Linked DNA regions of Struthio camelus. The protein of the gene in region 4 interacts with the protein of the main gene of each other region in a pairwise test. Links are inferred from orthologs where the notes say so. Each region holds a gene or a part of one and is shown on either strand. Other genes may lie near its edges. The genes, in order: RPRM, TNMD, SEC22A and TMEM79.

Region 1 (5,837 bases), on a different chromosome or scaffold from region 4:
TATGCGGTGCTGCAGCCCCGGCAGGCAGCGACGGGCCGAGGTTCACCCCGCAGCGGTGCCACCCGTTTGCTAGCAGCTACGCCAACGCTCTCTCCAATCTCCGACAGGCCAAACGCATCAGGCGCTGCTTACCGGCTTCGGCGAACGTCGCCGCACGACTGCAGCTCCCGCGTCGGCCGCCAGCCCGTCCCCCGGCTAGGGACCACGTAGGAGAAGCCCAGGACGGTGCTGGCAGGTCCGGCCGACGGCGCGGGATGCCCAACGCCCCTGTGCGAGGGCGGCCGGCAGCCAACGCCTGCGAAGGTTTTAAGGCCAAGGCAAGGGCGTGCTGAAAGGGCCCCACCGCGGCCCCCCGTGCTCCCGCGGGGCTTTGTCTGCCGGCGGCGACGCCTGCAGATGTAAGAGTCCCTGGGGCACAGCCTTCCCCAGGAAACTGCTCAATCGCTTTTCGGAAAACATGAAAAAACGTAGCCAGCCCTAAAGCAAGCGGTTCCGCAGCTTAGCTACGATTACCGCGTACACTTCTTGCACGAAGAATCATCTCTTGTTAAGTCCAAGCCCACCATCTGCTGCTTTCATCTGATATTTCCTAATATACCGCCTCTTCGAGTACCGGCGCAGCTAGCAGGGTCCCACGCGGGTGAAAGCCGGGGTCAGAAATCCCACCACCCCCGACCACCAGATCTTTATTATCACTTTTACGGCTTTCCTTCTGCGGACAGACTGCGGTCAGTGGCTCTTCAGCACGGCCAACCTGTGCCAGCAACGATCTGTCTAGGGACAACCGGGGAAGGATGCTCAGCCCTGCTCGTGCTAGGAAGCTGCAAGACCGAAAAGTAATAGAAATCCGTTGTGCATCGCGCCTTGCCAGTCACTTAATCCCCAGCATCCTTGGGACAGAAGAAGTTAATTATATTCCTAGCAACAACTAGAGAGCAGCAGCTAACCAGGAAGAGCAGGCTTTGACTGCTGCCCAGCAGCCGGCAAGGGCATCCCAGCGCGGCTCTGAACGCCGGAGGAAAAAGCAGTCTAGGAGATAAGGGCATTTTTTCCTCCTGGAAAAAAAAAGCCCACCAAAAAGTCTGAGCCGGCCCGTGACGAAGCCTGCACCGGGCTGCTAAAGGGAGAACGTTAATGGCAACTGGCTCCAGAGAAATTGATTTTTTTTCTTTCTTTTTCTATTTGGACAGGCAAAGATAAATGTTTCTATTGCCCTGTAAGCCTAAGGGTATAACGTAAAGTGCTTTCCAAGCCTGCTGTTTAGAGGGAAAAAATTCTATTTTAATCAAGGAATAACAACCCCTTATGTTGCACTGTAGCAAGCTGAGGCCGTGCTTTCCTTCCTTGGATGCAACGGACAGAAACCAGCAGGAGCGCGAGCGGCCACCTGGTTTCGGAGCCGCTTGTGAAGCAGGCGAGACGCCCGGGCCCCCCAAACTCACCCAAAGCGAGTAGAGCGGAGCCGCGGGCAGGCGCCGGGGGGGCACAAGGCGAGCGGCGCGGCCGCCGCTGCCCGCGCTGGATGTCACCGCGCCAGCCAGCGCCGCCCGGCGCCCCGCTCCCTCCTGGCGTTGGGCCGGCGCGGAGCGCAACCTGCGCGCCCCTCGGGCCCCTGCCTCTCCGCTCCGGCGCTGCAGGGCGCCGGCTTGGCCACAGCCGCCTTCCCGCGCAGCGGCTCCAACACCGCCAGCGGGCTTCGCACCCGGCCCGCTCCTCCAGCTCTGCGGGCACCGCCCTGCGCAGGGAGATGCAAGCCTCAGTGTGCACCACCACGTGCAGGGAAATGCAAGCCTCAGCGGGCACTGCCCCGTGCAGGGAGATGCAAGCCTCAGTGTGCACCGCCCCGCGCAGGGAGATGCAAGCCTCAGCGGGCACTGCCCCGTGCAGGGAAATGCAAGCCTCAGTGTGCACCACCACGTGCAGGGAAATGCAAGCCTCAGTGTGCACTGCCCCGCGCAGGGAGATGCAAGCCTCAGCCTGCACCGCCCCGCGCAGGGAAATGCAAGCCTCAGTGTGCACCACCTCGCACAGGGAAATGCAAGCCTCAGCGTGCACCACCTCGCACAGGGAAATGCAAGTCTCAGTGTGCACCACCACGTGCAGGGAAATGCAAGCCTCAGCATGCACCACCTCGCACAGGGAGATGCAAGCCTCAGCGTGCACCACCACGTGCAGGGAAATGCAAGCCTCAGTGTGCACCACCCCGCGCAGGGAGATGCAAGCCTCAGTGTGCACCGCCCTGCGCAGGGAGATGCAAGCCTCAATGTGCACCACCCTGCACAGGGAGATGCAAGCCTCAGCATGCACCACCCCGCACAGGGAAACGCAATGACTAGCTTTCAGAGTTATGGCACTTCTCACATGTGATCTTTGCCCAATTGCACTGTCAGGTTTGTACGTAACACTACCCAAACTGTTTGTAGTTTTTCTCCCCGGATTTCCGTAGATGCTTTGTGCACGTCGGAGCGTGCTGAAGGGGAGCGTTGTGCTTTTCCGCATTTCTTAGCTACTCAAAACACTCCTTAAAATACATTCTTGGTGTTCCGGGCATAGGTTTTCAAGCAGAAGCAGCAGACGTTTTGAGGCAAGGGAGCTGGTTGCGGCTACGCAGCTGGAGGGCAGGGGCGGGCCGGCGCCCCCCGACCCGCGCAGTGCCCCCGACCCGGGCGCCCCTCGCTCCGCGAGCCAGGCCCAACGGCGCGCCGGCGCGGCCCGAAGCGATGGCGCGGCCTGGGCACGGCTCTTCCAGCGCCCTTCTCCGCATCAAGGAGCTGCCGGCGCCCTCGTCCCTCCGCAGAATCAACCTTATCGTCTGCGTCCCACACCGAAAACAAACCGGTCCGGCCGGGGCCCACCTGGCAGGGTGCTGCACCCCGAAACCTGCTCCCCAAACTGCCCCAGGAACCTGCTCCCGAACCCGCTCTGCACCGCCTGCCCCCCAACCCGCTCCCCAAAACCCACCCCACAAACCTGCTCCCCCCAACCCGCTCCCCAAAACCCACTCCAGACAGCCCCTGCCCCAACCCGCTCCCCAAAACCCACCCCACAAACCTGCTTCCCCAAAACCTGCCCCCCAAAACCCACCCCACAAACCTGCTCCCCAAACCCACCCCAGACAGCTCCTGCCCCAACCCAAAACCCACCCCAGAACTTCCTCCCTAAAACCTGTTTCTCATAACCTACCCCAGAAACCTGCTCCCCAAAACCTGCTCCCCAAAACCCACCCCAGAAGCCCCCTCCCCAAAACCCACCCCACAAACCTGCTCCCCAAAACCCACCCCCACAAACCTGCTCCCCCCAACCCGCTCCCCAAAACCCACTCCAGACAGCCCCTGCCCCAACCCGCTCCCCAAAACCCACCCCACAAACCTGCTTCCCCAAAACCTGCCCCGCAAAACCCACCCCACAAACTTGCTCCCCAAACCCACCCCAGAAGCCCCCTCCCCAAAACCTGCCCCAACAAACCTGCTCCCCAAAACCCACCCCAGAAGCCCCCTCCCCAAAACCCACCCCACAAACCTGCTCCCCAAAACCCACCCCCACAAACCTGCTCCCCAAAACCCACCCCAGAAGCCCCCTCCCCAAAACCTGCCCCAACACACCTGCTCCCCAAAACCCACCCCAGAAGCCCCCTCCCCAAAACCCGCCCCAACAAACCTGCTCCCCAAAACCCACCCCAGAAGCCCCCTCCCCAAAACCCACCCAACAAACCTGCTCCCCAAAACCCACCCCAGAAGCCTCCTCCCCAAAACCCGCCCCAACAAACCTGCTCCCCAAAACCCACCCCAGAAGCCCCCTCCCCAAAACCCACCCCACAAACCTGCTCCCCAAAACCCACCCCCACAAACCTGCTCCCCAAAACCCGCCCCAACAAACCTGCTCCCCAAAACCCACCCCAGAAGCCCCCTCCCCAAAACCCACCCCCACAAACCTGCTCCCCAAAACCCGCCCCAACAAACCTGCTCCCCAAAACCCACCCCCACAAACCTGCTCCCCAAAACCCACCCCAGAAGCCCCCTCCCCAAAACCCATCCCAACAAACCCGCTCCCCAAAACCCACCCCGGCAGCCCCCTCCCCCAAACCCGCCCCACAACCTGCTCCCGCGCAGCCCCCTCCCCGCAGCCACCCGCAAACTCGCGCTGCCCCGGAGCCGCCGCCCAGAGCCCTTCCCGGACACGCGCTGCGCGGGGGCTGCGCGGGGGAGGGGGGGGCTGCGCGGGCCCTGCGCGGGGGCGGCGCGGGGGAGGGGGGGGCTGCGCGGGCCCTGCGCGGGGGCGGCGCGGGGGAGGAGGGGGCTGCGCGGGCCCTGCGCGGGGGCGGCGCGGGGGAGGAGGGGGCTGCGCGGGCCCTGCGCGGGGGCGGCGCGCCCCTGCCGGGCGCGTCGGGGCGGAGCCGCCGGCGGAGCGGGAGGCGCCGCCGGCGGGAGCCGCCCGGGCGCAGCGGCGCGGGGCAGCGCGGAGCGGAGCGGCGCGGAGCGGCACGGCGCGCCCTGCCCGGCTGCATGCGGCGGCGGCGGCGGGGCGCCCCGGCGGCGGCGGCGGCGGCGGGATGAACGGCTCGGCGGCGGCGGCGGGCGGCGGGACGGCGGCGGCGGGGCTGCTGGCGGGCGCCGGGAGCGCGGCGCTGGAGCTGGAGCGGGCGCTGCGCTGCTGCACCGCCGCCTCCGTGGTCACCGACGGCGGCGGAGGTGGTGGTGGCGGCGGCGGGGCGGCGGCGGCGGCGGCGGACGAGCGGAGCCTGTACATCATGCGGGTGGTGCAGATCGCCGTCATGTGCGTCCTGGCCCTCACCGTCGTCTTCGGCATCTTCTTCCTCGGCTGCAACCTGCTCATCAAGTCCGAGGGCATGATCAACTTTCTGGTCAAGGACCGTCGCCCGTCTAAGGAGGTGGAGGCGGTGGTGGTGGGGCCCTACTGACCGCCCCGGCCCCGGCCCCGGCCCCGGCCCGGGCTCCGCACCCGGCTCCGCACCCGGCGGCGCGGCCCCGACGTGCGCTGCCGCCCGCGCGCTCCCGGGGCGCCGCGCTCCGCCGCCGCCCTCGGCGCTGTCCCGGTCCCGGCCGAGCGCGGAGCGCTCCGACGGCAGCGGGTCGGGGCGGCCCGGTCCATTCGCCGCTTTAATAAACGTCTTCGACTTGGAGCGCCCGGCTCCCGCCCGTGTTTCCCGGCCGCCGCCGCCGCCGTGGCCGGAGGGGAGCGGGGAGGCGACAGCGGGGGACAGCTGGGTCCTGGGGACAGCCGGGTCCTGGGGACAGCCAGGACCCTCGGACAGCCGGGCTAGGGGACAGCTGGGTCCTGGGGACAGCCAGGTCCTTGGGACAGCCGGGCTAGGGGACAGCTGGGTCCTGGGGACAGCCAGGTCCTGGGGACAGCCGGGCTAGGGGACAGCTGGGTCCTGGGGACAGCCAGGTCCTGGGGACAGCCGGGCTAGGGGACAGCTGGGTTGGAGATTGCTGGGTCCCAGGGAACAGCCAGGACGGGGGCAGTGGGGAAAAGCCAGGCTGGGGGCAGCTGGGTTCTGCAGGGCAGTCAGGTCTTGGGGGCAGCTGGGTCCTGGGGGGCAGCCGGGTCCTGGGGGGGCAGCTGGGTCCTGGGGGGCAGCAGGGTCCTGTGGTCAGCTGGGTCCTGGGGGGCAGCCAGGTCCTGGGGGTCAGCCAGGTCTTGGGGGGCAGCCAGGTCCTGGGGGGCAGCTGGGTCCTGGGGTCAGCTAGGTCTTGGGGGGCAGACAGGTCCTGGGGGGCAGCTGGGTCCTGGGGTCAGCTAGGTCTTGGGGGGCAGCCAGGTCCTGGGGGGCAGCTGGGTCCTGGGGGGCAGCTGGGTCTTGGGGGGCAGCCAGG
Region 2 (8,331 bases), on a different chromosome or scaffold from region 4:
AAGAATAAATAACTGCATCACACCGAGCGTACAGCCGCATCAGTTTAGTCATATTTTTCCTGTTGATGTTTTTGTGCAAACTCCATTCAGCAGCAATGCTAAGATGTACTAACAGGTTCTCCTAAGGGATACGGCATTTTATGGTTTGAGAGAATAAGGCTTTTTACAAATAGTTTAAGGCAGATAGTCATAAAATTTTACTTTGCTCCCCTTTCCCTTGTAACTACCATGAGCTCTAGTAATCATAAATAAATATATGCAGAATAGCATCTGACCGTTATGGTTATATGAACATTCAGCCTTCAGTTCCTGCTAGGCTATTAGCTGAAAATTTTGCCATATGTCACTGCACAGGGTATTTCCCTACAAATTTTAATTAGGTTTCAGAGAGAGCCTACAACGTTGTCACGAGGTTTTAATGCTCTCCAGACAGATAAATGTACTGGGTTGGGATAGATTTATGGTGATTGCATTCCTTTGCAAGGGTAAATCCGATAACTAGATCTAGCTTTTAAAATGTATTTCCTTGGAACTGAACCATGCCAGTATTAAATACTGGTGCAAGCTCGTGTAGATATATATCTTTTCCTTGGGGAAGCACCCCCAGACGGTCTGCACGGAGGCCTTGCTCTCCCTCACCCGGAATAAACGGTGCTGGGGTTTACCCTTCTGCGCCCTGAGGGGTCCCATCGGCCCCGGCGCAGCCAGGCTTTCGGCCCGCGCTGACGTTTAGGCGCAGGCGCGGTCCTGTCCGGCCGGGCGTCCCCGAGGGGCTGCCCTGCCGCACTCACGTTTTTGAAGTCGTGGATCTCCAGGATCTCCTCGCTGCCGTTGCCGGTCCTGAAGGTCTCCGTTCTGGCCAGCGGGTCGATCTCCATCACCACCTTCTGCTTCTCGCCATTGCTGAGGAACGTGTGCTCCAGGCCGTAAATCTGCAGGGGCGAAACCGCGCGGGGGTCGCCGCAGCCCCCCGGGCGCCGAATGGCGGCGGGGCGAGCGGGCGCTCCTGGCTCTGCTTTCCGGAAAAGAGGGTGGTAAACGCTGCCCACCCCCTCCAAAGTGCCCCCTGCCCCAGGTCGGGGGGGGACAGGGCTGTACCCCAGCTTGGGGGACGTGGCCGTGCCCTTTCCGTGAGCGGGTTTCCAAACCTCCTGCAGACGTTTTCAGGACGGACGTGTCCCCGCGCACAGCTGCTCAACGGGAGCGGATGCCAGCCGGGCAGCGCGGCGCCTGCTGGGCACCTTCGCCTCCTACTTTGAAAACTGCAAGCGCGATGAGCTTCCCTGGCAGTCGCGAGCCTCCCTTGCTAGTCAGCACGAGGCTTTTACAAAGAGATATATGTGCCAGTGGATTTTATGGTATGGAAAAAATAGTGTGAAGCCTGAAATGGCTGGAAGGCTGCCTGTTTTGACTGACAAAACGCGCACGGCGCTGTAAATCATTCGTAGGCGAGCGCGATCCCATGAGGCACCTTACATTAGACTTGCTCTCTCTATTCGGGAAGAATTATTTCTGCCAGCGCCGCGGCCAACCAGCCCGTTTGGGTTTGGCCAGCTGTGCGCTACCGGGAGAGCCGCCGCATGTTTCATAGGGCTAGAAATTACCCTTGCTTGCGACTCTCTGAAATATGTCCCCCCAGCCTCTCGTGAGCTGGCGGGTCCCCGCGGCCGGCGGGGGCCGGCAGCCGTGGCCACGCGTCCCAGGCCACCCCTCCGGAGGAACCTTTATTATTATTTTTTTTTCCCACCCCCCCCCCCGCAAAGATCTTTTGCCTTCTTCAGCTTTACGAAGAGAGCTTGAAAGGCTTTTTGTTCTTTAAAGAGGTGAATTGCCCTTGGTTCACGTTTCCGAACGGGAGAGATCCCCGGGGCCGGCTGGAGGAGCCGTCGCCTCGTGACCACGCGCGAGACGGAGGCGCCGGGAGCGGGGCGGCGCGCGGCTCGGCCGCCTGAACGGCCTCGGTTTCCCGCTGCCGCTCCTTTCGCTCGCCCATCGGGCGGTCCGAAGGGAAAAACCGTCGGAAACATCATCGCCCTCCTTCTTCTTCCGCTCCGCACCAGCGAAACCAGGGGAGCCGAGGCCCCGGCTGGGAGCCGGCCAGGCGGAAAACTCCCGGCGGCTGGCTCGGCCCCCGACACCTCGCGGAGCGGGAACGAAACCGTTCCCGCTCTTAGCGGCGCCTCCGTATCCTAGCGCCAGCGTACCTCCGGCCGCCTGCCAGCAACGGCGCTCTCCAAGCGCCCATCCAAGCGTCAAACGCCCCCTCGGGAAGGGGCGCTGGCTGGCGACTGCGCCGGCGCCGCGGCCGCCCCGGCGCTTCGGCCCGGCGAGGCCGCGGCGAGCGAGGCCCAGGGCGCGCGGGCGCGCTGCCTTTCGAGGGAGGCCGGCGGCTTCACCCCCTCGCGGCGGGAGGGAGCCGGGCCGAGGGCGCCGCGCGGGCCTTTTGTCCCTCCTCGCCGAGGAGAGGCCGACGCTCGCGGCCCGCCGGGCCGCTCCCCCCCGGCGGCCCAGGCCCGAGCGCCGGCCCGCTCCCTCCAGCGAGCGGCCCCCGGGCCCCGGCAGCCGGGCGTTTCGGGCGCTGGCGGCGGGGTGAGCGAGGCCGGTGGCGGGGCGCAGAGGAGCGACCCGGCCCGCCATCCCCCCCCGCCCCGCGTGGCGGACACGTTAGCGTCAGAAATCGGACCCGCGGCCGCCTGGCTTTCGCCTCCTCTTTATGCCGCGGCGTAATGACTTTTCCACCGGTTTCTGGCAAGATAAATTGAAATGAAATGGAAAATATTTCCTTACTCGCCATAAAACTTGCTGCTGGTGGAAGGGAGCGACTTTAACTCTTTACGGCGTAGAGCCCCCCTCCCCAATCCGCCCGTGATTACCCGCTAGGAGAAGAGCAGCGCGCTGACGGGAAAAATAAAACAGCCCATAGAAAGTAAAAGTCGGATACGAACAGTACAAACGTTTTTAAAAGACCCCCCCCCCCCAACCCCGGTGAATTCTTGCGGCGTAAGGAAATACTGCCTGCGAAGCTGCCTGCGTCCGAGGGGCTGGCTGCAAGCGGCGCCCGGGCAGGAGCAGCCGCCCGGGGACGAGCGCCCCGCTGCCGCGAGGCTTTACTTACCTTCTTGGGCGCTGGGCTCCAGAGATATTTTACACCAAAAAATACCAGCGTAAGGAAAATCACCAGCACGCAAAAGAGCAGCCCACAGCTCTGGTATCCGGTGCAGGTCTTCTTTCCGCTTTTAGATGCTTCTGCCTGATTAATTACAAAAGAGCGATATCCAGGGGTCGGGGGGGGCAGAGCCGAGCGTGCACGCGCGTCGGGCTCTTCTCCCGCGAGCAAAGCCCCGCCGGCGGGGAAAATCACCCACTTACGTCCCGAAAGCAGCAGCCGTCGGGGCTCTGCGCGGCCGGCCCTGCCATGGTGTGCCGGGCGGGTGCGCTCCGCGCGCGCGGCCGGGACGAGGACGGGAGCCGCCGGCGAGGTGGAGCTGGGACGGCGCCGGATGCACATGCCAGCAGGGAAAGGGAAAGCTCGTTCCTGGCTCCGAGCGGCCGGGCGGCCGCCAGCCCCGCCGGGGGGCCTGCGATGCTGCGGCCCCGCGCGCACGGCGCGGGGGCCCCCGGGGCTGCCGGGCAGGGCACGGCCCTGTGCACGCGTGTGCAACTTATGCATGGGCGCCGTGCACGTGTCGGAGGCGTGCAGGCCCGTGCAGCATGTGCGTGGGCAGCTTGTGTGTCGGAGGCGTGCACACGCCTGCAGCGTGTGTGCGTGTGTTGGAGGTGTGCACATGTGTGCAGCGTGTGTGTGTCGGGGGTGTGCAGGCGTGTGTGTGTGTGTCGGAGCGTGCACACTTGTGCAGCGTGTGCATGGGTGCCGTGCACGTGTTGCAGGTATGCAGGCATGAGCAGAGTGTGCATGGGCATCATACACGAATCGGAGGTGTGCAGCATGCATGTGACAGAGGTGTGCACACGTGTCCAGGTATGTGCATGGGTGCCACGCACATCAGAGGTGTGCAGGTGTGTGCAGCATGCGCATGGGTGCCATGTGCATGTTAGAGGCGTGCAGGCATGTGCAAGGCACGTGCATGGGCACCATGTGCATGTCGGAGGTGTGCAGGCATGTGTGGTGTGTGCATGGGTGTCATGCACATGTTGGAGGTGTGCAGGCGTGTGCATAGGTGCCATGTGCATGTGCAGGTGTGTGCAGGCATGTGCAGGCATGTGCAGGGGTGCAGTGCACATGTGCAGGCGTGTGCGTGTCTGCCATGTGTGTCAGAGGTGTGCAGGCGTGAGCATGGGCACCATGCGTGTTGGAGGTGTGCAGGCATGTGCAGGCATGTGGGTGGGCAGCATGCATGCAGGAGGTGTGCAGGCATGTGCGTGAGTACCATGCGTGTAGGAGGTGTGCAGGCATGTGCGAAAGCCCCAGGCATGTCAGAGGTGTGCGAGGGGGCCACGCCACCTACCCCCCGGGGGTGCGGGGGCCCCCGCTCGTGGCGCGCAGTCTGCCTTGCCGCGGAGTGGAGCTGCCCAGGAGCCTGCTGAAGGGCGCGCTGCTCCGAGGGCGGCCGGCCGGCTGCGGGGAGCACACCCCCCACCCCTGCTCCCCCGAAAGGGGCCGCGCTCAGAAAAGCCAAGTTGCGGCTCTGGGCAGGCTCGTCGCTCCCGGCCCCCGCCGCCGAGCTGCTCTGCGCTGGTTTTCCAACCTGTTGATGCTAATGAAAACCCAGAGTGCATCGTGTGCTAATTACAATTACACAGGCAAGCCGGGGGGCCGAGCAGCATGGCCGAGCCGGGTGGCCGAGCTCGGTGGTTGAGCTGGGGGACCGAGCCGGTGGCCGAGCCAGTGGCCAAGCTGGGTGGCTGAGCCGGATGGTTGAGCTGGGTGGCTGAGCCAGTGGCCAAGGTGGGTGGCTGAGCCGGGTGGTTGAGCTGGGTGGCCGAGCCAGTGACCAAGCTGGGTGGCTGAGCTGGGTGGCTGAGCTGGGTGGTTGAGCTGGGTGGCTGAGCTGGGTGGCTGAGCTGGGTGGTTGAGCTGGGTGGCTGAGCTGGGTGGCCGAGCTGGGTGGTTGAGCTGGGTGGCTGAGCTGGGTGGCTGAGCCGGGTGGTTGAGCTGGGTGGCTGAGCTGGGTGGCTGAGCTGGGTGGCCGAGCTGGGTGGTTGAGCTGGGTGGCTGAGCTGGGTGGCTGAGCCGGGTGGTTGAGCTGGGTGGCTGAGCTGGGTGGTTGAGCTGGGTGGCCGAGCTGGGTGGTTGAGCTGGGTGGCTGAGCTGGGTGGCCGAGCTGGGTGGCTGAGCTGGGTGGTTGAGCTGGGTGGCCGAGCTGGGTGGCCGAGCTGGGTGGTTGAGCTGGGTGGCCGAGCTGGGTGGCCGAGCTGGGTGGCTGAGCTGGGTGGTTGAGCTGGGTGGCTGAGCTGGGTGGCTGAGCTGGGTGGCCAAGCCGGGTGGCCAAGCTGGGTGGCTGAGCTGGGTGGTTGAGCTGGGTGGCTGAGCTGGGTGGCTGAGCTGGGTGGCCAAGCTGGGTGGCTGAGCTGGGTGGCTGAGCTGGGTGACCAAGGTAGGTGGCCGAGCCGGGTGGCTGAGCCGGGCATCGGTGACAAGGCCAGGCCCCTTTTCCCTCGGCGCACCAGCAGGGAGCCGGGCTGTGCCCGCTGCCGCTCCTCCCATGCTGCTCACGTGGCGGCTCCGGAGAGACTGTCTCTTCTTTTCATTCAGCAGCAGCCACCTGAGAAGGTGACACATACTGGTTCTCAGTCTGTGCGAAGCCACCAACGGAGGGCAATCGTAGCCACGAGTCAGTGGCGGCAGGTTATTTGGAGGAGAAAAGTCCGTTTTTAAGGAAGGCAGTCATGGGCCCTGGAGCAGGTCTGCAGCCCTTTGGCAACCTAAACGCGGCAAAGCAGGCAGGCGCTGCGTCTCTATGCCACGTTTTTCTTTTCACCGCAAACTTTCACCTCCAAAGCTTTTGTTATTCACTGGGAACTGGAATGTCTGTTTTGGACTGAAAACATTTTCTTTTCCTGCCGTTTCAAAGGAAAACTTTGAAGCAGCTCTACTGGAAGCTCGACTTTTATGATTACAGGGAAGAATTACAGCAGCGCTGTTAAGCAGCCGTAAGTGATCAACGTTGCAGCGATATTCGCAGTATCCCCCATCCTACGGACAGCAAACGCTGCAAATGCCACTCGTACACCAAATTAGGCATTATTATTTTATTACTGTTGTAAGGTAAATGTCAAGCTTCTTAATGGCAATCACTGTAACTCCGGCAGGAGCCAGGCGTCTGAATTAGCTCTTGGAGGTGAGAAACTCCCCGGGTTGGAAGTTAATAAAACTCAATAAATATCACGAGTCCTTGGCGAGGTGTCTGGGAGGACGGCACCACGCGCGAGCAGCGGGGCAGTGTTCGGGAGAACAGCGAGGGTAGCGGCCGGGCGGCCTCGCGCCACCGCGGGCTGCCAAGTTCGGCCGGGCCGGCCAGCAGGAAGGAGTAACTCTTTCCCTTCTCCACCAGAGGGTCCGTGGGAAAAAAAAAGACTTTGGGGTTAAAACAGAAACAGCGATAAAATTCGGCCGAAAAGCAATAAAGCAGGTTTAGGAAACGCGAGGCGCTGCTCCGAGGCCTGGGGAAGCGGGCTGGCGGAGGGCTGGCTCCCTGCGCGGGGGCCCGCGGAGAGGCAGCCCCGGCCGGCGCCCCGCTCGCCCCAGGGAACGGAAAGGCGACAGTTTGGGAGGGGGAAATGGGATCGCCTTAGGAGGGCGATCAGGGTTTTGGTCCAAAAAAAAGCCTCGTTCCGAGGTTCGCTCCATCAGCGCCGACGACGGGGAAGAGCCGCTAATGCTCCTAGAAGCTAATGAGCGCGAGTCTGTACGACGGGGGAGAATTTAATCTGATGCGAACAGAGGAAGAAGAGCGATCCTGATAGAACGTGTGACTAATTGATACCCAGAAGAACATTTCAAACGATTAAAAGGCGTTTGATTTTTATACAGGACAATAAGAGGCTCGTTGGCTTTGAGTGCTGCGTCCTGTAGGTTTTTGGGGCTCCTCGCTCCCGTTTGCCCTGAAAACTTTATCGTGTCCATAATGTAGTTTGACTGCCGCGTAACATCCGTGTGTCTGGAAACGTGATACCACGAAATTCCTCCTGGGCAGCGCTCCAGTCCGTGCACAGCGTCAGCTGCGGCGAGAAACGAAGCCGCCCCGGCTACGCCAAAAAGCAGCTCCCCAAAGCAGTGGGGCTCGGACAGCAACCTCCAGCAGAAAACGAACCGTGATTAATACGGCGCTCTTTATAATAATGAAAAACCCATTAAGGTCAGCGGCAGCATCTCTGAGCAGCACTAAATTGGAACGACGGAGGCAGTAAAGTTAAAAATGAGCCATAATATTAATGTGGATAGTGAATTAATTGGGCAATTCCATAGGTAGTAAGTAAATCATACCGTTTGCTGTGGGACGCGGCGGCTCGCGGCTTTTACTGCCGGGCGGGCAAAGCGGCGCCCGTCCGCTCGCCCGGCGAGAGGGGAGGCTTATCTCCGTCGCACGAGCCGGCAGCGACGCTGCTGTGTTTCAGGTCTCTGGGGGGCTCTACCCCAAAGCGGGGTGGTTGCGGCACGCCTGCCGGGCCAGCCGTTCCCTCCCCTCCCATGTCCAGCAGCTGGGGCAGCAAAGGGACAAAAGGGAAAAAAAATCGCGTATAAAAGGAAATCGCTTGCTAGCCACTGGGCTGATTACGCAGGGCGCTTTCTGCTTCAGAGTACCCTGTTTTCTGAAACTTTTGCCAGGTGAGAGACCGCGTATCTCCTCTTATCAAGGAGCCGCATACAGCCTCTGCCGAAGAGAGGTTTCAGTAATTGGCCTATTCATCATTCACTGTTTATCTTAAGTTCATGTGCTCATAGAAAACTCCAGAGATATGCTTGATTTAGGTTAAGAAACTTAATCATTTTGAGAAAACTGCTGAGGGTTTTGGACTTCACGAACAAGACGCACGCGGTCACGTGGCCCTCCGGAAATCTGTAGCCGCAGCAGATTATTCAAAGCTGACAAACCTTTAGGAAAGCGTATTACAAGATAAATTCACGGTGGGCGTTCCGAAGGAGCCGTTCAGAAACTTGTTAGCAAAGACACATGCTTCTTCTCCCTGCTCACAGCCCATGAAAAATCCTCCTTCTTAGAGCCGTGCCGCCACTGCCGCCGGCTTAGGGGGACGTCTGCCTCCTTCCTGCTGCTGTGACTCCCTTGTCAACAGACGTTATTAACAGAGCCAGAGAATTTTATCCAAACGCTGGTTTCATCTTGATAAATAACAATTTCATGTCTCTGTTCT
Region 3 (7,593 bases), on a different chromosome or scaffold from region 4:
CAAAACCACGACATTAAGGGTGCTTTACAACACTTAGCAACTGAAGGACTCTATTCTAAAAATTAGGAATCAAAGTTCTCCCAAAATAGCACTGCCTCTTTGCAAAAGAGCAGGAAAAAGCCACTTTTTCCTGAACTCCTGCCTCCTCTCTTTCCCCCTGCACAAAGGGTTTACACCTGGATATTTTTGAATAACAATCAATATTCACGTTTCTCAAGAATATTTACTCCTCACAGAGAAAGTTGTGCAATAATAGAAACATTGAAAATTGGTTGCAATTTTCAGGTTAAGAAAGAAATTCAGCTGCTTCTTCAGCGGCAGCCAAACTTCAACCTGCTTTCAGATGAGTTATGTTAACTTAGCAATATGAGTTCCAAATGAATGCCCTTCTAACTTTATAGTGCATCAGACTTTCACCAAAGTTGTAACAGCAGCAGAAGCCACTGCAGCCACCGAGAGCCTCTGAGCCCTTGCCGGTTCCTACCTACGACAAGCCTACTGGTGCAGGTAGGCTTCTTAATCCAGCATCTCACCACAGAATTCCCTAGTGTACAAAATGCTTTGATCAGAGTTGGATACTTCAGAATTTCCTCTAGGTTAGTTTGCTAGAGCAAAGCATTCTAGAAATTTAGCCTACAGTTTTGGCAACTTGTATGTATCTGCACTTATGTTTATGCAAGTCTCCCAGTAAAACAAGTCACATGAAATACAGACCACACACACGGCACTCGTTTCCTTAACTACGCTGCCAACCACATAACCCTGGCAGTGGCTCACAAGCATGACACAATCACAGGGGATGTAACGTTTCTCGGACAACAGCTGCTTTTATCACTTGGGACTCTGGGAGCAACATCAGAACAATAATGTGATAGCAAAAGTTTATAATTCCCCTTCATTAACTTACTTGCACAAAACGGAATTTCATGGATCTGCATTTCCTCTGGTGAAGTAACTTCATTAGCACCTAAAGGGAAGAAAGGACCCACAGCTCCATGTCCTGTCTTAGGAAAAGGCCGCAGGTAAGACAGCAAGGCAGGAGAAACTCAGAATCCTGAAGCCAGCTCTCCGAAGAAAAAATACTGTTCTGTTTACTTTTTATATGATCTCGATCACTGAAGTTCATGTCGAGCTATCTGATGAGACAAGATTGAATAAATTAATACATGCATTTTGTGGCTAACGCTATTATTCAATTCTTTTTGTGAGGCCATGCTCATCAGAAACAGTTTACTAAATCTCCAAAATGAAAACGCAGCTTTTACTTGGCTTTCTAAACAATCAGGCTCCGCAGAAAGCACCAGCTGGCACGTTTGATACAGACATATATACACAGAGGCTGAAGAAAGAACATTAAGGATATAACAGAAAACATAGCTGATTCTTCACAAACCATGCCGTTAGCCAGGGGAACTCCTTGCCACAGGATGACGTAGATGCTGAAAGTTTAGGTGGATTCAAGAGGTAACTAGATAAGTTCACAGATTAGCTAGAAGGGTTACTCTATCGAAAAGACTACCCCTTGCTCAGGAAGGGCCCGACCCACAAACAATGAAAGCACACTACGGCAAAATCACTCTGTGATGGTGCCAGTGTTACGCTTCTCTGTACGCATCTGCTTCTGACCTGTCTTTACGGATTTCCCCTTACACTAAAACTTCACAGGCCTCTCTGAAAATCGGGACAGGGAGAGTTCAAGGAAAAGAGAAACATGGAGAAACCAGACCACAGACGGGAAAGAGTGACCCAGGTACGGGCGTTCCTGTGTTACTGCACTCTCCCTAAACCTGCCAGAAAATCGTCCACACTCTGCTGCTTTCACAAATGGGAATTATTATTCCTCCCATTAGAGGGAAAACTGGGATGGTGCAAATCAGAGCCTGTTACTGTATTTTTTTAAAGATAGATCCAGTTATCATCGAGTTTATCTATGTGTTATGGATGACACTTGGTCCTGAGGCAGCATCAAGAAAAGTCCTAGAAAGTGGTCTCTATTCCAGCCTTCCTCTGTAAGGGATTGGCCTTTCAGTTTGACATATGACAATATGAGTTTTATACTTATCTGTCTTCTCATAACTCTTTACGAGAAAACATCCAAAAGTGGTCTGTGAAAACGGTTTGCTCAGGATACGCCAGTCTTTTAAAAACAGACTAGCTTCAGAAAAATTGAAAGATATTGTAAATAAATGTAGTGTCATGGCAGACCTACTCTCCTGCACCCGCGAGCTTTCAGCATCTCCTTAATTAAGCCTTCCTTGCCAACATGCCTGCCTCTCCTATTAACACTCCATAAAACACAAAATTGGGTTGTGGTTGCAAGCCAGGCGGCTCCTTGTAAAAGCAGAACGAAGATACGGTTTCCATGCTTACTTCAAGCATACAAGAGAGCCTCAGAAAATTTGTTTTCCTCTCTTTTGCAGGCTGTGACAGCTGTATTACACAGGGAGCAATCTCAGTCTCCCCACTCCTCAGCACCCTTTAGAAACCCATTCCGCCACCGAAAACACTGCCTAAGGATGGGAGATAAATAAAGCCACTTTGACATTATCAGCTATGATCGGACTAGGAAATAATCCCAAACCACTAGCCCGTATAATCCTTCTCATAAAGAAGAGGGAGGGGGAAAAAAAAAAAAAAAAAAAAAAAGGAGAGCGCAGCGCTTCAGACCCCCGCAGGGCCCGGCGAGGCCCGAGGCCCAGGGGCCGGTGACCGACCCTCGCCCCCAAAAAAGCGCCCCCGCGGGAAGGGGCCCCGCGGCTTGCAGCCGCGCCGGGCTAACCTCCCCCTGAGCAGGGCAAAACGCCGGCAGCCGCCTCAGCACCTGGATGTTTCAGGACAGGACACGGAAGACTTTCGCCCCTAACAGCCACCCTCGCACTCGCCGCGCTCCCCCCCCCCCCCGGTAACGCAGCAGCGGCGCGGGGAGGGGGGGCAGGAGAAGGAATCGGAGCCAAATGTCTCTTGGCTTTACCGGGCGACCCCTGCGCACCCCCCCGCCCCGGCACCCTGAGGGAAGGAGGGAGGCAGGGAGAGAGGGAGGCCGGCGGCCGCCCCCTCCCCAAACGGCGGCGGAGCCCCTTCCCCGCCAGGCCCCGCGAGGGGGCCGGGCCGGGCCCGGCCGGGCGGGGCGGGGCGCGTCGCTAGGCAACGGCGCGCGGCAGCGCCGGGGGAGGTGGGGAGGGGGCGCCCAGCTACCTGCCTCAGCGCAGCGGCGGCACCGGCGCGCGCGCTGCCCCCTGCCGCCACCGCCGCCGCCTCCCGCCAGGCATTGTGGGTACCGTCCACGTCCGCCCGGCGGCTAGGCGGTGGCCGTCACGTGACGCCGACGCGGCCCCGCCATTGCTCCGTGGGAGGGGCGGGGCGGGGGCGTCGCCATGGCGACGGGCTGGGGCGGGGGCGCGTTGGGATCTGGGCCTGGAGCGTCGCGCCGGGCCCGGCTGCCCCGGGGCGGCGGCGGCTCCTCGCCGGGGCGCGGGGCTTCTCACCCCGGGGGCTCGGGGAAGGGAGGGGGGGATCCTCACGTTACGGCCCGAGGGGACCCTGGAGGCCGAGGGGTGCCGCTGGGCGCCATTTCTTTAGGCGGGGCCCAGGCACCGGGGCGGCTGCGCTTCATGCCGCCATGCCACTCGTGAGGGGCCTTGCCAGAGGACCTGCCGCCCCCGCGGACTGCAGCACTCACCGGCAGGCCGAGCGGTCGTGGGGGCTGCGTTTGGCTGGTAGCTGTTGCCGAAGGGTTGAAAGGCGCCGGCTGTGCACCTGTCGCCGAAGGGCGCGAGGGCGTCGCTCGGGTCTCGGCCCTCGGCCCTCGCGTCCTTCAGGAGCGTCTTCAGCACGCTCCTGCCTCACGCATCTTGGCTAAATGCTTACTACCCTGGTTTTCTGAGGAAATGAGGCTTCGTCATCACGCCCTGTGGGTTCTCTTGTGTAATAACTTGCAGCTATTTGGCCGGTTTCAAATGAGTTTGAGCAGAAGTGTGTGGAGCACGCCATATGCTTAACGCTATATAAATAACACTATACGTGTTTTTGTGTGTTTTCTGATCAGGCAGCACACACAAATGCAGATCAGGAGGAAGTACAATGACATAGTTGGCACCAGAAAAAGTGCACTAAGATGACACGCAGACTGCCATACCGTAATTTTTGTCGTTCTCGGAGAAATCCACTGGGCATGCTTTGAAAATAACTGACAATACCAAATTGAAAGTTTACCAATCTCATTACTGATCCCAAAGTGAGAGACCTGTTTTAAAACTGCTTTCTTTAACAGTACAAGAACAATTTTCTTCCTGTATTGCTCTTCAGCTTGACTTTTTTCGGATTGTGTCATACGGTTTTAGTGCAACTCAAATCTTAAATGAAAGTAGCTTATTTCCTTGCTAACACCTTTTAATTTCTCCTTCCATCTCTCTTACTACTTAACTGTACACGTTTTTTAGCATTGCACAGTACCGATAACATACGTCCTGCACTAAACTCTCTGGTTCTACTGAACTATATTCAGGAACCAGGTAATAAGGAAGGCAGCATCAAAGTACATTAATACTCTCCAAATTCAAGCTTGCCTTCTGTGGCAGCGTAAACTGTTTCAGCTGGGCACTTAGGGCAAGCCCAGACACCAGCAGCTAGTATGAGTCATGTGTCTCCTTGCTGCCTAGCCTCGAGATAGTAGGTGTGAATGCCAGTGATTCAGGTGTAGCAAAATGCTTTCTTGGATCCACGAGCAACCAGGTGTAAGTTGTTTCTGCTGGAGATAATTTAGCCCTTTCAGCCTTCAAGCTTACTACCACGCTTCAGGCAAAGCTCAGTCGAGCTGAAGACTCTAGCTCTCTGTGTCAAGCTTTATTGTGAGAAGGTTTACAAGGTTAAATACAGCTATAGAGTTTAATAACAGAGATGGAGGGAGGCAGTAAGAGGTGTTGGCAAAAGAGAAAAATTGTTTTCCGCGGAGACTCGAATGAGACGGAGAATGGATGAGGCAGAGCAATAGAAGAACGCCACAGCAGATGGCAGGAGCACCACCCGGACACTATCAGGAGTAGGGAGACTGTATGAAGGAGAAAGACGGGAGTAGACACACAGGCAGACCACTGCAGGAGAGGAATGAGGCGAGGTCACCTGCAGACGTTTGATGAGATAGTTCCGCTTTGAACGTTAAAAGCGGCACACACACACAAAAAAGTCATACCCTGGAGACCACTGGGGAGAGAGCCTCTTCTGAACGCATTCTCACCTGCCACGGTGGAAGTCAGTCGTGGCAGAGGAACTGATGAAGTCTTTGCTCCGCAAACATGTCTTCCTCAGCCTCACGGGGTCTGTGTGTTCAGTTAAGCTCCTTAACATTTCCAAATTAGAATCTCAGCCTGTCGGGAAGAAACTGTGTCCCCTGTGGGGTTTTTTTTAGAACTGAGCACAGGAACATGCCCGTCTTGACTGACTAGGCCCAACTATAACATAAGTTGCAAAGATAATGCGCTAATCTAAATAATTTCCACAGAGTCCTTATCCTGTATAAACAGAGTGCACGGTATTACAAGCTGCTACACAGTTTAATGGCATGTGATAACATCTACTATAATGCTGAGAAGTAGTGATTGCTTAATTAGAGGCTGCCTAAAGGTTTGTGATAAGTGCACGTGTGTGTCATTTTAATTTTTCTGCTTCCTGACTGTGAACTGTTTATCTTTGAACCCGAAAATTCCCTTGACCGTTTGTAAATGTTTTGAAGAGAAAAAGATAAGAATTTTGTGTTTCTATAAACAGAACTTTGGAAATTATATACACATCTATTCATTAAGCCTTATACCTTCTTACGAGAAAAAGGTAAAATTCTCTATAATCAGGTGAAGAAACTGGCCCCAGGAGGTTAAATAAATTGCCTGAGGTCACTGACGGAGTTGGGGCAGAGTCAGAAATGGAATTACAGCTCCAGAGCTCCTGACTCCCTCATGGTGCACTTAAATCATACCCGTTATTCAAGAATTTGCATGGCTAACAAGCCAGTTACATTTCAGATATCTTTCTTCCTGTCCCGTTGACTCCCCTAAGACAACGAAGCAGTAAAACATTAATAGGGGGGCACCATGCACTGAATAAATTAGTGAAAGCTGCAGTGAGAGATAAAACTGAGATTCCTAAGAACTAAATCCAGTCAGTGTAACAGCAAATAAGTGGAGGAATGTAGGTATTTTTAAAGGAGGAGGAGAGATAAAGAGATCAAGAGGACTGCAAGGCTGGGAATGGACAACTTCAAAGGTTAAGTGAGGAAACTGAACTTTTAAGCACCGGTGCCAAATAAGTCCCTGTGGTGTCAAAACCCTCCAAGATGGCAAAGAGGTGCTTATTCATGAGTACACCAAAATAGTGAAATATAACATGTGATAGCTTATCATGTCATCAGCCAAGCGAAGACAAAAACCCAGCAACTGAGACGTGTTAGCGTGGGATTTAACCCACCAAAGTTTAATGGTTTGAAAACCGCCCAGTGTGAAGCACCTAGTTGTTGCTATTCCTCCTCAGTCACTGCAGGGGGAGCCAACATGACCAGCCTCATTTAGATGCCTGGTTTTCAGATAGCTAAAGAGAAAAGAGGTAATTCCCACCCGTGGGCTTTATCCGCTGTATTTAAGGACAACTTTTAAATCAGGTTTCTTAGAAAAGAAATCTTCAGCCTGAGGAGCCTGTAGTAGTTACGGAGTTGCGGAGTTGTAGAGAAACACAGAGGTAAAGGTCTGAAAGGACCCTCAAAAGGTCATGCAGAAAATTGTACCTCAATTTCTTTGTAGGAAATTAAACTGATAAACACTCAGTGGATGTGGAACACATCAGATCACTGATCCACTTTACAGCCCATTTTTAATGGGGAAAAGTGCTGCTGGGCCCCTTAGCCATCTTGGATTTAGACTCAAATCTGTTCATTCTTTTCTAAAACTTGTGTTTACTAAACATCTGTATAATCTTGTTGCTCCTTTGTCTGGATTTTGTCATTTTTTTCTGGATCTTTCTTAAAGATTGGTGCCTGAAGCTGCAGATATTATTTAAGCCAAAGCTTTAGCTGGAAAACAGCCTAATTATCCCGTAGTGTGCTTCCTGCTTCTTGTATAGTAATGCCAGTTCCCATGAAAACACAGATATAGTGAATCAGTGGCTGTCAGTTTATGTTCAGTAGAGCCACAACTTCACTACAAGTGCTTAAAACTTTGCATGAGGCCTCCAGGAATCAAGATACTGGCTAAGAACTCCTGACATCCTAAAAACTCTGCACTTTGGAAAAATTGCATCTGATTTTAGAGGTTTTAGAGAAGCCCTTCTCCATAATCACAAGAGCTAAAAACATATTAGTTGGAGCACTGATGAAACTCTTAGGCAAGAATGTTAGAATAGTGTTAAAACAGAAGGATTAATTCCTTTCCCTCGCCTCCAAGAAAAAAAAAAAAATCAGAGCACAAATTAGGATATTTGACAACAAAGCCATTGCTTCCCTGGCTTAGGAACTGATGCTTGCTAACATAGCATCAGCAGAAGCGTGAGCAAGGTCATAAAAAAGGTCAGCAGAAAATATAGTTTATTTCTTTGCTTATTTTTTAAACTATT
Region 4 (7,930 bases):
GTCTCATCTAAGGATCTGGTTGAGTTTAGCAGTGACAGAAACGCATCTTGATACTGCACAACACAACACCCATGAAATCACATGAAGTACTCAAAAGGCAATTGCCAGAGTCCCCTTTCTGAGAGTCAAGCAAACGGGCAGCTACCTGGCTGCCAGCGGTATCAGTGGGTAAGAAATGCAATCAAGGAGTTAAGGGACAAGCCTACTCACATGCACCACGGCTCAAACGCCTGCCAAACATAAAGTGCACAAAAGTTTCCTTCCAGGGACATCTCAGCATGGACCTTGGAGGGTACTTCACTTTCCCCTCCAGCACAGAGCAGGAGGCATCCTGGAGGGTGTCTCCCACACAACACACTTTCCTTTAACAGCCAGGGATGGGTGCTTGGAGACACCGATCTTTCTGTTACTTTTTATGGGTTCACAAAGAAACAGAGGGTTGGCAACTCAAAAACCACAGGGCAACAAGGTTCATCTTTTAGGATGTGGGTTGCCGAGCTACAAGGCACAAGGCAGACCCCACGCTGAAAGGTCTTCTCATCAGCGCGAGCTCCAGGCTGCTGCTGGGGGAAGCAGAGGCAGCAGTGAGGAAGACTGTGACAACCACCAAAGAACTGCAGGCATCCCAGGCTGCAGGTGGTGAGGAAAGGGGCTGCAACGAGGACAAAAAGGGACAGGGGATAGGCTCACTTCAAAAAGTTAGGGAATACCAATGCAGGAGATGCAGACTGCACACTGACTAAAATGCAGCTTAGCAGTTTGGCCCCTGGGTGGCCTGAGACCATGGGCTGAATTATACTTAGGGGTTAAGAAGTCAAATTTTGTCTCAGTGCCCATTTTTGTACCTGCTGGGCTTAAACCTTGCTTTCAGACAGCATGTCAGAAAGGGAGGGAGCAAATCAGACACCAGTCTATTAAAAGAACCAAGCGCAGCACATCATGCCAAGCAGGGTGGAAAAAGTCCAGTGCCAAGTCCACTTCAGCAGGCAGGAATGGATCCAACACTTTCCTTCTGTGCCATTAACATTCTGGGACAGGGGCAAGATGGCAGGGAGAATGATTCGTGCTCTCTATCTCTTTATCTAATACATCACTAAGAGCCTCTGAGGAGCACGACATGTCTCAAGGAGAGAAGCTGCGGTCGTTCATCTATATTCCAGCACACGTCAGTACACAAATAATACTGCCCAGAATAAGAAGAAGAGTAGCGCAAAGCCAGTAAGCAACAGTTACCCAGAATAAGGTAAAAGAAACGTGGTCATCTTAAATTAAAGAGTACATTGTCAAACAGCACCCAGTATAATCCAGTGGCCACATTCTGGGGTGAAACCCTGGGATTATCAATCCAGGAAGAGTTAAATGGAAAAGATCAAAGACCATCCTACGAACAGAGATGAGCAACCTCATTTCCAAAGGGACACTGTCGTAGCTAGTGTCGTTGGCTAGCCCCGGCCAAGGGCTGCAGAGACCTGAGCCCAAATCCTGCTGCTCTCACAAACCAACTGGCACAAAGCTGATCCCATGTGAGCATGTTTTATAGCAAAGGACTGTGACATTCCAACATCTGCGATTCAAAGGCACAATCTAACCTGATGGCCAAAGTTTCCAGAGACAGTAGTCAGCCATCACGTGAAGTTCAATGAATATAGTACTTCTCACAGCAGAGAAAGTTACCACCCCGTCTAACCGAACTTCAGGCTGAAGCAGAAAATTTCACAAGAGAGTCTGTTCAGGTAGAAAGCTTGCTAAGAGACCTATCGGCTACACAGCAAGAAAATTTGTGACCACTGCAGGTATTATAAACGCTGCAGTAAGATCACAATACTTACTTTGAGCCAGAAGAAAAGAGACGTCTGGAGGAACGTGGCTTTCTGCTGTAAAAATGCTATAAGCAACCATGCACCTAATCCTGCTATAAAAACGTAAACAGAGAACAACCTCTTCCTTGGCTTAATGACCAAACGCATGAGAAGGGACTTTCACTTGTGAGCTTCAGTAGCACAGTGAGTTACCGCTTGTCAGCCGAGCTACGAAACGACTACTGCCCACACACGTTCCTCACCCGTTGTAACCGCAAAGTAAAACAGGTCTTAAACCAACATGAAGGTAGTTTAAACAAAATGTATTTTATTTTGCAAGCGGGGTGCCCTAGGAGCAAACACATCCTCTCCAATCCCTGCCACTGCTCCTCAGGTGACAGAAGGTACATTGCTATGCTGCACTAGCTCAGTTACGAGCACTTGGGGGAATACACCCCTAAGATCAAACAGGGTATTTTGATCTGACAGCAGACACAGAGCTCCATGGCCCTGGAGGCGCTTCCAGTGTGATAGCAAAGCCCACACCTTGGGTAACCCAAGCCATTGCATTTTACCACAAGCCTTGCAATTCAAAAAAAAAAAAAAAAAAGAGGTAATGTAACTTCAAAGTGCAGGGGACAGGTTTGTATGAAGCACCCCAGGGACACAGAAACAAATTCTAGCAGCTAGCATTCAAACTGCTATTACTGCTTTGGACTTTTAGGCAAGGATCTCATCATGTTTCTCAGAGGGACACAAAGCTATCCCTGTTTTACCTAGGAGGGCAGCGAGGTTCCAAGAGAGGAAAGGACATGCCCAATGTCATCGAGCAAGTCAGCAAGATAACTGGAAACGGACCCTAGCATGAACTCCGTTTCCTGCCTTCACCGTCTTGCTCATCTTAGAAACCACATTGTCACTCCCGAAACTCCAGTATGAATCTGCTCTACAGATGGAGAAACTGAGACGCAAGGGGGCAATGAGTGGGCCGCAGGCACAAAACAAGTCACCGGCAGAGCAGAGGCTGGCTCCCGGCTCCCGCTCCCCAGAGGAGCCTCCTGCAGCGCTCAGCACAGCTGGGGTGTGCGGCACTGCTGCGCAGCGCTGCCAGAACGGCACCTCGTCCTTGCTGGGGTGAGCAGACCGAGGCCACCGTGACTTCCTGCATCTTATCTTCCGACACCGTTTTGAACGCGCAGTGCAGAGATGGAAGGGAGAGTGGACTCCCAGGAAGCGTTTTAATGGGAAAAATCTGCAGCTGGAGCAGTCCTGCCCTCCAGTGCAGCTGGAATATGTCCTGGCCTAAGCACCTGCTCACCGGACCCTCTTCTCCACCCCTTCCTGTGCCTTCCCTGTGCGCTGCCAGTGCCATGATTTCCCTCTCCAACTCCCTCTTTCTCTGAATTCCCCACATCTTGCCTTATCCCCCTACATCCCTTACGCTTCCTTCCCTCAGTGCCCCCCACCACATCCTGCCCCATCTCCCCGCATCCCACACACATCCTTCCTCCACCCTCCTTGTCCTGATTCATCTCACTAGACCCCCCACACCCTCTTTCCCTTCCTTATCCCTCCCCCCAAATCTTTCCTGGATCCCCCTCCATCTCCTTCCCCCTGGTCTCAACCTCACCCCTTGGATCTCCCACTCCCCCGCAACCCTCGGATCTCCCACTCCCCCCCATCCTGACCCAGCTGACCATGCCCCCTTTCCCCCGATGTCCCCCCCATGTCCTGCCCCATCTCCTCTGGATCCCACACCACCCCTCACCCCTGCTCCCCTCCCCATCTCCTTCCCCCAGTATCTTCATCTTCCCTGAATCCCCCTCCGTCTTCTTCCCCCTGGTCCCCCCCCCAAATCCTCCCTGACTCCCCATCTCCTCCCCTTGGCCCTCCCATCTCCCCTCACCCCCCTCCATCTTCCCTGACCTGCCTCCCCACACCCCCCCGGAGCCCCTGCCCCTCTCCACCCGCCCTCGCCCTGACCCACCTCCCTGGATGCCCCCAGCGCCCCCCCCGGCCCCGGCCCCGGCCCAGCTCCTCACCGGTACAGCCTCTTGGTGTGCAGCACCTTGGCCTCGGGCTCGCTGCTCTCGCCGGGGGCCCCGCCGCCCTGGCTCATGGCGCCCGGCGCGGGCAAGGCCCGGCGCGGCCCGCGGCCTCCTCAGCACCGGCCGCGCCGCCCGGCCGCCGCCGCCACCCGCCGCCGCCGCCGCCACCGGCCCCGCTCGGCCGCCATGGCTGCGCCGCTGCCCCCTGCCCCGCGCCGCGCGAGACTTGGCGCCCCGCTATCGCGAGATTTGCCGCGAGACCGGTGAAGTTGTGGGGGGGGAGGACGGGGAGAGGCGGCGTCACCTCGCGAGAGTTCCCCACCACCACGGTGCCAGCACTTAGTGCTGGCAAACATGGCGGCGGAGCGGCGTCACCTCGCGAGAGTTCCCCTCGCCATCGCTGCCAGCACTTAGTGCTGGCAAACATGGCGGCCGCGCCGGCGTCATTCAACGAGCTTTATTGCTACCCCCGCGCGGCGGACACGCACAAGCAGAGCTGGAAGGAGGGAGGGGGCCAGGCCAGGCCAGGCCTGGGGCCGCAGGGAGAAACCCCCCCCCCCCGCCATGAACACCCCCATCCAGGCAGCTCCAGCCCCTCGGGGGCTCCCCCGGCGCCAGCTCCCTCGACGGGTGCCAAGGGACCCCCTGGGAGTCCCCCAGCTCCTGGTGACGATGCTGGGGTGCTCCTCGGGCCTGCCCGGCCTGGGGGCCGCCCTCCGTTTTGCCCTCTCCCTGCCAGCAGAAAAGCCCTCGGGGGCAGCTGGCAGGCCTGGGGGGGAGGAAGGGGTTGCGGAGGGGACAAGGCGGGGGCTCCTCCCGCCCGAAACCCCTGGCTGCGACGAGGAAAACAGGCTGGCGGCCGCCATGGGGGAGGCCTCCCCCGTGGGGCTCAGCCCGTCCGCCCCGTGGGGCCAGGCGGCTGCGCCAGCCCCTTGCGGCCCGGCCCCACCTTCGCCGGTTAAACAGGTTTGAAGTCCAGGGCGGAGAGGTCTCAGCGGCGGCGGCGCTGCCGGGGCTCCCGCCGCCGTCTCCCCCCGGTCCTCTCGGCACGTAAGTCGCCGGGCCGGGGGAGCCCGGCTCCGGTTGCCTCCCCACCGCCCGCCGTGGGGGGTTTGGAAATGGCGGGGGGAGGCCCAGACGCGGCCAGGGTGCTGTTTCAGGCCCCCTGCCCGGTGGGAGCGCGGATAAATCGCCGGCGCCGCACCGTGCCTCGGTTTCCCCATGCCCCCAGCCGGGCCGGGGCGCCGGGCTCCTGGCGGGAGTGCGTGGAGGAAGGCGCCTGCGGTGGGATTTTCCCTGCGGGAGGCTCCCGCACCTGCAGGCAGTGAGGGCTGGGGCCCTCTCAGAGGGGAAAATCTGGGATTTCCACCCGGATCTCCTGCTCCCCCCCCAGCAGGCGGCACGGCGGCTCCCTCCTGCGCCCGCCCCGAGTCGGAAACAAATCCGGCCTGTCCTCGCTCCCCGGCTGCTCTCCCCGGCACACGTGTCGGGACGCGGCCGGCGCCGCGCTCGGATCGGCCCGGCAGGATCCAGCCGCCCCGAGCCGCACGCGGCTCATCCCCCAGCCCGAAACCTCGGCACATTTTGCGGGGAGGATTGCTGGGCCAAAACCTCTCATTCCTGTTGTCTTTTTGTCTGTCTGCTTCTTCCTCGTGCAGGGTGAGTCCAGCAGGGATGGGATCCTCCTCCTAGTCCCTTCCTGCCGCCCCGAAACGCGGGAGGAAACCCCGAAACACCATGGCTGCAGCCGACCCTGTCCTGCCCCCCGAGGAAATGGCCTTGCTGGAGCTGGGGACGGCGGCCGCCCTCCTGGACAAGGTGCCCCCCGGCCGCACCGAGCCCCCGGGGGACCCCGAGGCCACCCTGCCGTGGGACCAGTGCCAGCACGGCGCCCAGGGCCAGCCCGAGCCCGCAGAGGCCAAGAGGCGCTCGAGCCCCGAGGGGGGCCGCGAAGACCCCGAGGAGGCCAGCCCTGCCAGCCCCCCGGCCGAGGCCGAAGACGAGGAGCCCCACGGGCTGCCCGTGGTGGCGGCGGCCCACGTCTTCGTGCCCATCGACCCGCAGTGCATCGAGCGGAAGCAGCAGCCGGCCCCGCGGCCCCGGGAGCAGGGTGAAGGGGGCTACGTGCTCCCCCGCGGCGACAGACCCGACGGCCTCCGCCAGAAGCAGGTCTTCCTCCCCCTCGGCCCCTCGCGCTACAGGGACGCCCTGGGCTACGAGGGGCGAGCGGCCAAGGCGCCGACTGAGGCGCCCCGGTGCCCCTGCGCCGTGGATTGCAGCTCCGGCAGCCTCAGGGCCGTGGCGTCCGTGGTGGGGGCCCTGCTCCTCTGCCCCTGCCTCGTCTACGGCGCCTACGTCTTCCTGCCCTTCGACGCGCCGCTCCTGCCCACCGTCAGCGCCCGCCTGGTCTACACGCTCCGCTGCACGGCCTTTGCCACCTTCCCCATCATCCTCGGTGAGCCGCGCGCCCGGGGGTGCGGGATGCAGCAGGCAAAGCCAGAGCGGAGCTCTTTGCAGCTCCGTCACTCCTGCCAAAACTCGCACGCGGCCGAGTTTTCCTGCCCTCCTCCCGCCCTGCTGCGCCCGTCCGGTTCTCTCTCCCCAACGCGGCTTCCTTAGCCCGCAGCGCCGCGCGCCTCGGTCGCCGAGCGCTGCCGGCTCAGGCCACCTCTCTGCCCCGCCAGGGATGATCGTCCACGGCATCTCCCGCCTCTGCTCCTCCTCGCTGGAGCCCTTTGGGGAGCTGCAGCAGGAGGTGGAGATCCACCGCACCTACGTCTCCCAGTCCGTCCACCTCTTCATCCTCTACTTCTTCAACGTGGCCGTGCTGGCCACCTACCTCCCGCAGGAGGCCCTGAAACTCATCCCCCTGCTCACGGGGCTCTTCGCCATCTCCCGGTAAGCAGCCCCTCACCCTCCACCCCAGCATCCTCTTTCCCCGCCCCGGGCATTGCAGGTTCCTGGAGGGACCAAGCTGGGTCCATCAGTGCTGGAAAACTTCCTGCCCCAGTTTTTGTCCCCCTTGCCACAGCAGCCACCTGGATCTGGCAAAGCCCCGCTGTCGCTGGCACTCCTGAGCCCTGGGCATTGCGGTGTCACCTCCCAGCGTGCCCTCGCTCAGCCCCGACCTGTCTCCTGTCTCCAGGCTGATCTACTGGCTCTCGTATGCCATCGGGCGCTCCTTCCGCGCCTTCGGCTTCAGCATGACCTTCCTGCCCCTCCTGGCCATGCTGCTCTACAACCTGTACGCAATGTTCATCCTGGAGCCCGAAAACCTCGCCGTGGTGGGCGCGAAGGCTGAGGACCCCTCCAAGGACAGCAGGAACAAGCTTCGATTCTGGGGGTGAGAGGGGCCGCAGGGAGACCGGGGAGCTCACTTGCAGCCCCCAGGGTGCCCTCTCCTCACGCTGGGCTGAGATGTACTAGGACAAGCCTCAAAGGTGGACAGGGACAGGCAGATCCAGCTGGGTCCCTGCTCCCTGCCCGGGGCCAGCAACATCCTGCGGGATGCCAAGGGCCAGGCTGTGAAACCCTCCCTGCTGGGAGTTTCCTGCAGGAGGGTGAATGGGGGCCCCAGAGCAAGTCCCAGCAAGCAGCAGGGCCCAGTTCATGGGAACGGGCAGGTGAAAGGGACCCAAACTTCTTGCTGGAGTTGGCTTTGCCCAATAAAACCCTTCACTAAGTGGCTCCATGATTGAATTTCCCTAGGACTTACCCTCACCACCAGGACTTGCAGCTGCACCCACAGCCCTTGGGATGCCACCATCCAGCCCCAAAATGATATTTCCCAGAGGGCAAAAAGCAGATGTTTCCCCATCCTGTCCCGGCACTGTGACCGGCCCTTCTCCCTGCCTCCCGTTCCCAGATCCTGCGCGGCAGCTCCGCCAGGCCCAGCATGTCCCTCCTCCTCCTCCTGGCAGAGGTTCAGCGTCTGGTTTGCAAACCGGTTGGCCGGGTCCGAGGGAACTCTGCCCCAGGGAGGGACGCGGGTGAGACAAGGTGGCCCTGGGCTGGGTGAAGCGGCTCCAGCATTTCTGCGGCCCAGCACAGGGGGGCAGCCGATCCTCTCGCCCAGCTGGGCAC

The links.
Region 1: the proteins of TMEM79 (region 4) and RPRM interact in binary tests that used the Homo sapiens proteins (3 or more experiments, as listed by UniProt). The two-hybrid records come from large-scale screens. The link is inferred for Struthio camelus from reciprocal best matches to the Homo sapiens genes TMEM79 and RPRM.
Region 2: the proteins of TMEM79 (region 4) and TNMD interact in binary tests that used the Homo sapiens proteins (3 or more experiments, as listed by UniProt). The two-hybrid records come from large-scale screens. The link is inferred for Struthio camelus from reciprocal best matches to the Homo sapiens genes TMEM79 and TNMD.
Region 3: the proteins of TMEM79 (region 4) and SEC22A interact in binary tests that used the Homo sapiens proteins (3 or more experiments, as listed by UniProt). The two-hybrid records come from large-scale screens. The link is inferred for Struthio camelus from reciprocal best matches to the Homo sapiens genes TMEM79 and SEC22A.

The regions. Positions count from the first base shown.
Region 1 is NC_090947.1:45,059,004-45,064,840, reverse strand, and holds RPRM (protein reprimo), read left to right. Parts: upstream 1-4,549; coding exon 4,550-4,918; 3' UTR 4,919-4,979; downstream 4,980-5,837. UniProt on the Homo sapiens protein: May be involved in the regulation of p53-dependent G2 arrest of the cell cycle. Seems to induce cell cycle arrest by inhibiting CDK1 activity and nuclear translocation of the CDC2 cyclin B1 complex.
Region 2 is NC_090952.1:21,965,204-21,973,534, reverse strand, and holds the start of TNMD (tenomodulin), read right to left. Parts: upstream 3,471-8,331; 5' UTR 3,418-3,470; coding exon 3,370-3,417; intron 3,251-3,369; coding exon 3,116-3,250; intron 933-3,115; coding exon 792-932; intron 1-791. UniProt on the Homo sapiens protein: May be an angiogenesis inhibitor.
Region 3 is NC_090947.1:33,818,534-33,826,126, reverse strand, and holds the start of SEC22A (vesicle-trafficking protein SEC22a), read right to left. Parts: upstream 3,358-7,593; 5' UTR 3,196-3,357; intron 3,121-3,195; exon of another isoform or gene 1,394-3,120; intron 1,137-1,393; 5' UTR 908-1,136; intron 1-907. UniProt on the Homo sapiens protein: May be involved in vesicle transport between the ER and the Golgi complex.
Region 4 is NC_090971.1:3,915,305-3,923,234, forward strand, and holds TMEM79 (transmembrane protein 79), read left to right. Parts: upstream 1-4,531; 5' UTR 4,532-4,897; intron 4,898-5,505; 5' UTR 5,506-5,584; coding exon 5,585-6,302; intron 6,303-6,531; coding exon 6,532-6,745; intron 6,746-6,992; coding exon 6,993-7,194; 3' UTR 7,195-7,540; downstream 7,541-7,930. Other genes in the region: nonsense-mediated mRNA decay factor SMG5, read right to left, coding at 3,842-3,918.